2 linked regions of the Chlamydomonas reinhardtii genome follow. The protein of the gene in region 1 interacts with the protein of each later gene in a pairwise test. Links are inferred from orthologs where the notes say so. Each region holds a gene or a part of one and is shown in the gene's direction. Other genes may lie near its edges. The genes, in order: CHLRE_03g177053v5 and CHLRE_17g734400v5.

Evidence for each region.
Region 2: the proteins of CHLRE_03g177053v5 (region 1) and CHLRE_17g734400v5 interact in binary tests that used the Arabidopsis thaliana proteins (3 or more experiments, as listed by UniProt). The link is inferred for Chlamydomonas reinhardtii from reciprocal best matches to the Arabidopsis thaliana genes CAND1 and CUL1.

Annotation. Positions count from the first base shown.
Region 1 is NC_057006.1:4,596,350-4,600,760, forward strand, and holds the start of CHLRE_03g177053v5 (uncharacterized protein), read left to right. Parts: upstream 1-1,450; 5' UTR 1,451-1,672; coding exon 1,673-1,878; intron 1,879-2,427; coding exon 2,428-2,497; intron 2,498-2,753; coding exon 2,754-2,963; intron 2,964-3,210; coding exon 3,211-3,379; intron 3,380-3,769; coding exon 3,770-3,902; intron 3,903-4,225; coding exon 4,226-4,340; intron 4,341-4,411. Other genes in the region: CHLRE_03g177007v5 (uncharacterized protein), read right to left, coding at 1-102, 369-812, 1,032-1,083, 1,263-1,285. UniProt on the Arabidopsis thaliana protein: Key assembly factor of SCF (SKP1-CUL1-F-box protein) E3 ubiquitin ligase complexes that promotes the exchange of the substrate-recognition F-box subunit in SCF complexes, thereby playing a key role in the cellular repertoire of SCF complexes.
Region 2 is NC_057020.1:4,894,156-4,898,553, forward strand, and holds the start of CHLRE_17g734400v5 (uncharacterized protein), read left to right. Parts: upstream 1-1,346; 5' UTR 1,347-1,572; coding exon 1,573-1,623; intron 1,624-1,713; coding exon 1,714-1,796; intron 1,797-1,914; coding exon 1,915-2,014; intron 2,015-2,362; coding exon 2,363-2,481; intron 2,482-2,703; coding exon 2,704-2,765; intron 2,766-3,103; coding exon 3,104-3,232; intron 3,233-3,432; coding exon 3,433-3,533; intron 3,534-3,808; coding exon 3,809-3,916; intron 3,917-4,228; coding exon 4,229-4,315; intron 4,316-4,398. Other genes in the region: CHLRE_17g734350v5 (uncharacterized protein), read right to left, coding at 1-450, 554-636, 787-847, 927-1,149.

The DNA of each region.
Region 1 (4,411 bases):
CAGCCGCTCGCCACCGCCGCCGCCGCCGCCGCCACCACCACTGCCAGCTGCCGCCGCCGGCTCCCGGAACACGGCACTGGCCTTCCAGCCGTCCGTCACACCCTGTGGTGTGGCGTAGTGTGGTGTGCGGCCTTAAGGCATACCTTGGTGCTCCACCTGTGATTTCTTCCGTCCTCTGCCCGATCGCACCTGCCTTGGAAGGCTGCGGACAAAACCTCCCACAAAAACCCCACCTGCTCCCGCCCCCCACCACCTGCTCCCGCCCCCCCCAAGCCCCCAGCCCCCTAGTCCCCACCCGCCTTGCCCGTACGACCACGGGCCTTGGACACCTCCCACCTCCCCTCATCCCTCGCCCCCGCCCCCCTCACCCTTATGACCACGGGCACATTGGCGGCCAGGTAGCGGCGCACGAAGTCGTCATAGCTCAGGTCGGCGGCGTGGACGGTCGGCAGCCGCCGGTAGCCGCCACTGCTGGGGGCACAGCCGGGGCCGCCGGAGCCGCCGGGGCCTGGGCCGCAGCTGCCGCAGCCGCCGCCGGGGCTGCCGCTGCCGCGCCCGCTGGCGCCTGCGCTGTCACCATAGCTGCATGCTGCTGCTACTGCTACACCGGCTCCTGCTGCCACCCTTGCTGCTGCTGCTGCTGCTGCTGCCCCTGATGCTGCCCCTGATGCTGCTGCCCCAGCTACATCGCCGCCCGCCCCAGCATCAGCCGTTTCCGCTGCACAGGCTGTCTGCGGCCGGCCCTGGTGCGGCTGCTGCTGGGCCCGCCATGCCTCCGCCAGCACCTCCCGACCGAACAGCAGCGGGTCGGACTGGGGCGTGTGTGTTTGTGTTGGTCAGGGCAGCGCCGGCAGTAGCAGGGGGGTTATGGGGGAGGGAGGGGAGGGGAGTCGGGGACGCAGGGGGCAGGGCGGGGAGTGGGCCGGGACACATTAGGTGGGTGGGTGCGTAAGGGTCAAAGAGGGGCACCAGTGGCAGGCCGGGTAGCGCGCTGCATGGCGCCTTCAATATCCCAGGGGGTTGGATCTCACCCGCGGAATGGCGGCGGGTGGCGCCCGCAGCAGCTCCAGCGTCAGAGCGGGGCTGCGAGCAGCCGCATGAGGGATGGAGGAGGGTGGGGGGAGAGGGGGGGGGGGGGGCGGCCGTCAACGACGAGGCCTTTTGGGGCAAGCTTCTATACCCAGTGACCTATTGCTTTGCACGGAGACGGTAACTAGCTTGAGCTGAAGGGTCGTGCGCAGACGAATCGTCGTAGCGCACACCTTATTCGCGGGCTTGGCTCCATAGCTCTCTGTTGTTATGCATTGGATGTGATTTTCGTTTGTTTATCTGTATCGTCAAGCGAATAGCCCGTTCTTAACAGACGGGGGCTCCAATGCCGGCATTGTTGGTTGCATGGTGCAGGTTTTGCAGCACGCGTCTAGACTCGACCGCAAACCCGTCTTAATTGCACTCGCACAAACCATAACAACGCGACTGGCGGGAAGTGCACGTCACCCACCACATTGGGGCGGGATCTTGTGCCCAAACCAGAGCTCGTGACCCCGCGGGGGACTTCGTTACATCAGGACATTCGATCTGAGCTAATTACGCTAGCGGCGTGACAGCTTCACGCACGGCGTTCGGTCTTTCGGTCCGGTGGTCGGTCGTTTAGGGCGCAGCGGCAGCAAAGATGGCGAGCACAGCTATTGTCGTCATTTTGGAGAAGATAACGAGCAAGGACAAGGACTTTCGCTACATGGCGACGTCCGACCTGCTCCATGAGCTGCAGAAGGACACGTTCAAGGTGGACTCGGAGCAGGAGCGCAAGCTCTGCAACGTGATCCTCACGCAGCTGGAGGACCCCTCGGGCGATATCTCCAACCTGGCCGTGAGCTGGTGAGCAGCAGGCCGGCGTGGCTGCGTGAGAGCGGCCGAGCGCGGCCTCGGCCCGGGGGATCGTGCCATGCCAAACCTGGGACTTCCGCCAAGTTATCTCCGCCCAGTGGCCTCAGGCTGCTAGCAATCTGCAAGCAGTGTGGTCAGGCCTGCTGCAAGACCGGGGGCAGGGCCGCGGGTGCTGCTGATGGGGGATAGGTGTGAGCGTTGCACAGGGGTGCGACGCAGAGAGAGAGCTGGGCGGGGCACGGACTGGGATGGGGCAGAGCGATGGCACTAAAGCGGTGTGGGGCCCGGAGCACCGAAGCCAGTTCGAAGGGAGGTCGGGGCCGGGGCGGGGGCTCCTGGTTTAACACGCGGCCTCCCCGCACGCCGGCATGCACACCCACCTCACCCTGGCTGCCTGCAGACCAGACCAGTCCAGCATTACAGCCACAGCCCGGCCCCCCCGCCCACGCGCACACGCACACGCACACACAAACCGGCTTCGTGCCTCACGCCCCCCTCCACATCTCTTCCCCCCATCTCCCGCCCCTCCATCCCCCTCAGCCTGGGCCACCTGGCTCGCAAGGTGGCGGAGTCGCGGGCCGAGGACCTGGTGCGGCAGCTGTGCGACAAGGTGTGTGTGGGTGGACGGGGTGTGTGTGGAGGTGGGGTTGCAAAGACGGTACAGAGAAGCAAGGGGGGACAATGGGTGAGCGGGAGGTGGGAGGTGGGAGGTGGCAGGGCGCGGGCGGGGCGGCGGCGTCACGGGGGCGTGGTGTGCAGTCCCACCCCCCTAGCACCTGCATCACCAGTCCCACCACCACCATCCCCATAGCAACACCACCACCCCCATCCCCTACCACCTCACCACCGCCACCGCCATTGGGCAGGTGGCCGGCGGCGCGGCGGGCGGCGCGGGCGGCTCCGGCGCCGCCACCAGCGCCGCCGCCAGCAAGGCGCGCGACGCCCAGCGCGAGATCGCCTCCATCGGCCTCAAGGCGCTGCTGAAGGAGCTGGCCGCCTCCGCCGCGCCCGGCCTGGCCGCCTCCGCCGCCGCCATCATCGCCGGACGCATGTTGGACGGACTGCAGGCGCACAAGGTGGGCGTGCGTGTGGGGGGAGGGTTGGGGGACGGGGGTGGGGGAAGGGAGGGACAGCCGCAAAAAACGTGTGCTTTGCAGGGGGGTCCCAAGGGATCAACGCATTGTACCTGCTCTGTCTGTCCACAAGAGCTCTTTCCACCGCCCCTCTACACACACACGTCTCTCCACCCCCAACCCCCAACCCCAAAAACCCCAAACCCTCCAACCCGACCCCCCCCCCAATCCCCAAACCCTGCACCCCCAGGACGACGCGGACGTGACGGGCCATGTGCTGGACATCCTGGCGGAGCTCATCAGTCGCGGCGGCGGGCTGCTGCCGGCGGACATCCAGGGCCGCGTGCGGGACGCGCTGCTGGCGGCGCTGATGGGCGAGGGCCGACTGCTGCTGCGCAAGAAGGCGCTGCAGGGGCTGGGTGAGTGAGCGATTGGGGGAGGGGTTGCAAGGATTGGTACAGAGAAGTGTAGTGAAGTAGACCCCAGGGGGAGGGGGAGGGGATGAAAGGGGGGATGGGCGGGGGGCAGGGGATGAGGGGTGGGTGGGTGAAGGGGGGAAATGTAGCTACCAGCCCAAACAAAGTTGAACCCATGCAAGAGAGCGAGGAGGAGAGCGTGGCCTATGCTTTGACAACGGAGCGGCACTCGGCGCAGGGGAGGTAGCCGTTCTAGGAGCCCGTAAGCCCCTTCCCTCCCTCCCGCCCCCTCCCCTCCTCCACCCCTTCCCCCCCTCCTCCCCCTCCTCCCCCTCCCTCCTCCCCCTCCTCCCCCTCCTCCCCTCCTCCCCCCCTGCCTCCTGCCTCCCGCAGCCGCCCTGTCCGTGTACCTGACTGACGACGCGCTGGCGGGTGTGGTGGGGCCGCTGCTGGCGGCGCTGCAGCAGCAGCCGGGCGTCAAGGCCGACTTCGCGCGCACCTACGTGCAGGCTGTGGGGCAGGTCAGGTGAGGAGGGCGTGTGAGGAGGGGAGAGGGGGAGGGAGAGGGAGGCGGGTCAGGTGATGAGGGGGATGGGGATGGGAGAGGGAGAGGGAGAGGGGGAGAGTACGTGATGAATTAGACCTAGGACGCGGAGGCGTGTATTTGTGTGTTGTGCTACACGTGGTGGCATGGGGCCTGGCAGCTTCCTGGGGCCGGGGGGCGGGGGGTTGCAAAGCTGGTTGGACAAGCGGTACAGGATGCCCTGAAGACTGCAGACGAAGTCGGGGGGACACGTCACAGCCGCTAACGATCCACCGGCACCCTCACCACCCCAATCACCCCGCCAGCCGCGCTGTGGGCTACCGCTTCGGCCGCTACCTGTCTGTGGCGGTGCCGCTGGCGGTGCGCCACTGCGACCAGGCGGCGGAGGGAGACGACGAGCTGCGGGAGCACTGCCTGCAGGTGTGTGTGTGTGTGTGTGTGTGTGTGTGTGTGGGAATGTTTGTCAGGGGGTGTGTGCAGGGGGAGCGGGG
Region 2 (4,398 bases), on another chromosome or scaffold:
CCCTCCCCACAGGCGGGCCACCCTGCTGCTGCTGCGAATCTGGCTGCTGCCACGCCCCGCTGGGACTTGCCGGGACCTGCTGAGATTGCTGCTGCTGCTGTGGGTATAGCTGCTGCGGGTGCTGCTGCGGGTGTTGCCGCTGTTGTGCATGGAACTGCTGCGGATGCTGTTGTTGTTGCTGTGCGTACATCTGCTGCTGCTGCTGTCGCAATGCGTGCAAGCTGGCCGCAGGCGGCATGGGGGACTGTGGGCCCGCGGCCTGGCCTTCGTGGCCATGGCGCGAGAAGAACGCCACGGCCTGTTGCACGCGGCCGCTGGGGCTGGGCCGCATGCCAGGTGGGGCAATGCTGGGGTCTGGGCGAGCAGGCCCCCGCAGCAGCGGTTGTGGTGCGGGGCTGTGGTTGCTGTGCCCAGGGCCCCCAACACTCCGGCCAGCCGGTGCACGCGGCTCTGCAAACCGCACATAATAGTCAGTTGGTACAAGCGGTCAAGCCGGTGGCCAGCGGTCGTACGGCACAGCCACGGGGGTTGGCGGCCAGTTAGGGGACCGCACCTGGAGCTGGATTGGCCGCGTCAGCTTTGGCCACCACCACATCCGCAAGCTCCCGAAACTCTTCATCCAGGTCCGCGATTTGACTGAGGGAGGAGGGGGTGGATGCGCGGGGGCGCGAAGCTGTGAGCAGCGGGTGCCAACGCAGCACGCGTGCTGGAACGGCGCTCCACGGTCAATGGCACCCGTGCGCGCAAGCTCAGCCTACGCACGCGCACGCGCGTATATGTACTCACTACGACCATGCCTCTCGGTCGGCTGGAGCTAAGGCCGCGGTTGCCTCCTTGAGGTGTTGGACTGCACGGCGCGGGCCAAGCACAGTACTACTGGTCAGCGCACAGCGCTGACCATCCGGGGAAGTCAAACGCCGACTCACTCAGCCGCTGGATTTCGTTCAGCAACGGAAACGCCTGGAGATCGCCAGGATTGAGTCCCCGCAGGCGGAATAGCGCTCCCTGGCTTTGCTGCAAAGTCTCATGGATGGTCAATCGCCGTGAGGGCGCTCGGGCCAGCGACGGCCGCGGTGGTGTAGCCGCAGGAACATTTCGCGCTGGCGGAAGAGGCTTTGGAGGGGCAGGCTTTGGTTTTCGCTTGAACATGGTGCCACTTGCGCAGCTTCAGTCTCCCTTCAGTAAGCCAGCCAAAGTATTGGCATCTTTAATAAAAATAGTAGAAAGGTTTACATGTAATAGTTGGAAAGGTCCTTGAACGAGCTCGACTTGTGCAATGGGCGAACGCGAGTTCAGACTGCGGTCTGCGGGCCTTTGTTATGTGCGTGTGCCTGTATACAGTGATAGTTAAATGTAGATTGGTCAGGACAACCTATATTTGCAGCGCCTTAGAGACCCGCTTGACATAAACCAGAGAACCCTTGCGACCAAGGCGTTTGGCAAACGTGACGCTCCCTGGCCCGGACTGTCCGCTTTCGGAAACCTCTCTTGAGCTCTTAGTTGCGTCAGCCTCGAGCCCGGGGGCGCCAGGGCGAGCGGGCTGGGCCCCGGACTTGGCGCCGCAGCTGACAGATGGCGGACCGCAAGCCTATCGAGCTGGCAGAAGGATGGAGCTTTATGGAGGTGGGGCATTAGCATGTGCAGCAGAGGAGCTTGGGCGGGATCTGCATCTGCATTTCCCGGCTCACCTCGGTCACGTCTTGGCCCAAGCAGAAAGGCATCCAGAAGCTCATCCGCTTGCTGGAGGGAGAGCCAGAGGACCAATTTAACGCGGAGCAGTATATGCACCTGTACACGTAAGTTGTGTTGGTCTGGGCATGGTTGGGGCCGCGCCACACCCTGCCGGTGCCTTCCGCGACTGACCCACGCTTGCCCTCGCGCCTCTCGGTGCCTTGCGTCCTTCTTCGCCTTCAGGACTATCTACAACATGTGCACCCAGAAGCCGCCGCACGACTATTCGGAGCAGCTGTACAGCAAGTACAGGGACGCGTTCAACAAGTACATAAACGAGAAGGTGCGCCTTCTGGCGCACCCCGCTTGAACCCGCATTGCGCCCACGCCCATACAGCCCAGGCCACACACAGCATTGCAGCTTTGTACGTTGCCACCCGATCCCATGCCGTTTGAGCACGCGCCTTGCGCAGCCTCTTACCTGCTATGCCTGCTGTTCCATTTCTGACGCAATCCTGCTATCCCCCTCGACTCAGCCTACGTCGCCCGCATTGCGGCCCGTACGCCTGGAAGCGTGAATGCCCCACCCGCATCATTCGACCCGCAACACTCAAAGTCGTGCCAAATGTTCCTCTTTGCGCATCCGAGCTTGTAACCCCCCACCTCCACTCACCGCCCCCCGCCGTCGCAGGTGCTGCCCTCTCTGCGCGAGCACCGCGACGAGGTGCTGCTTAAGGAGCTGTACCAGCGCTGGGGCAACCACAAGCTCATGGTGCGCTGGCTGTCGCGCTTCTTCAACTACCTGGACCGGTGAGGGACAGAGGGTGCTGGTGGGTTGGCGCGGGGCCGGGATGCATGGGGTGTTTGTTTGTGCAGAGCAGTAGGTTGGACTAGTCGTGTGCGGTTGAGGACTGGGACCCGGAGCGCGTGGCGGTTATCTATATGTTTCTTGTTGAGCCACATGCGGTAGCTTGATGCCAACCGTGTTCTGTCTGTATGCGCTGCCGTTTGCCCGGGCCCCCTCACTGCCAGGTACTACGTGCTGCGCCACTCTCTGCACCCGCTCAAGGACGTGGGCCTGCTGTGCTTCAAGGGTGAGGGGGCTGCAATGGGGTTGGACAGTGATCGGCAGCGGCAGCAAGAGGCAGCAGCTGCGATGGGGTGGGAGCAGAAGAAGCAATGGGCCAGAAGTATCAGAATCCAGTGGCGCCCGGCGGACTGCCGGGACGGGACCAGCCATGCGCAGGACCCGCAATTCAACGCATCACCCACATGGTCGGCCTAGTCAGGGTTGGGTGCTGTTGCTGAGCTTTGCCAGCCAGCCTGCCGTGAAGCCGCCCAACTCATTACTTCCTCAGCGAGGCACCCCGTCCACCCTGCCCCTTGCTCTGCGTGTACCCTGTGTGCCCCCGGCTCCGCCATACAAGCACAGACCTGGTGTACGTGGAGATCAAGAAGCGCACCAAGGACGGCGTGCTGCTGCTGGTGGAGAAGGAGCGCGAGGGCGAGCTGGTGGACCGCGCGCTGGTCAAGAACATCCTGGGCATCTTTATCGAGCTGGGTGAGCAGCAGGCGCCAGAGATGACTGCGGGCGTAGTAGCCGGTGTATGTGGGATGACGATAGCGGGCCCTATGCGGGGAGGGGAGCGGCTGGCGGAGAGGGGCCATAAGTGACGTTGGAGAGGGGTTGGGGTTGGGGCGGGGGCGGGGGCGGCAGACCTCAGCCACCGCTTCTGATACTCGAACCTCACACGCACACAGGCATGAGCAACATGGACTGCTACGAGAAGGACTTTGAGGAGTACCTGCTCACCGAGACGTCCGCGTTCTATCGCCGCAAGGCCTCGCAGTGGATTGAGCAGGTGGGCGGGTGGGCGACCGGATTGGACTCATGTTTTTTGTCCAGGAACGGCGGGCGGGGCGGACGAGTTAGGGCCGGCAGGAGCCCCGGCTTAAGATTGCGATGTGGGTCAGCGCTGCGGCGGAGATGGACAAGCCCGGCAGGCATGCTTTCGCGATTGCGCCCGCCGCTGTACGTGTGCTGCATCCCGTACGGTACGCCATTTGCTGTCAACGTCGGGCATTTGAAATCCTCTCCGCCGCTCCGCGCCGCTTCCGCACTCCCTGGCGCGTCCAGGACTCGTGCCCCGACTACATGCTCAAGGCGGAGGAGTGCCTGCGCCTGGAGGAGGAGCGCGTGGACAACTACCTACACGCCACCACGCGCAACAAGCTGCTCAAGGAGGTGAGGGGGCGGCTGGGTGGGTGTGAGGGATGGGGGAATTGTAGATACTATTTCGAACCAAATGCAAAAGAGCGAGGAGGCAAGCGTGGGGGGGGTCTGACGGAGGCGTCCAGGCTGGGTGGGGCGGTCGGTGGTTTCGGATGCAGCACTTTGGGAGGCGCTGAGCCCCACGCCGCGTCACTCATGCACATTACGGAGAGCCTGGTGCTGACGAATGTGGGCGCACTTGGCGCACTCCGCCTCCCTTGCACTCATACACCTGCCTGCACACTTCTGCGCACCCACGCCCACACCTGTCTCATGCGCCTGCAGGTGGAGACGGAGCTGCTGTCCAACTACGAGACGCGGCTGCTGACCAAGGAGCACAGCGGCTGCGCGGCGCTGCTGCGGGACGACAAGGTGGGAAGGGGGGGTTCGTGTGTGATTGGCGCCCAGTGAGGCGGGTTGCGCGAGGCATGAGGCAGGGCGGTTTGGGGCTGGTG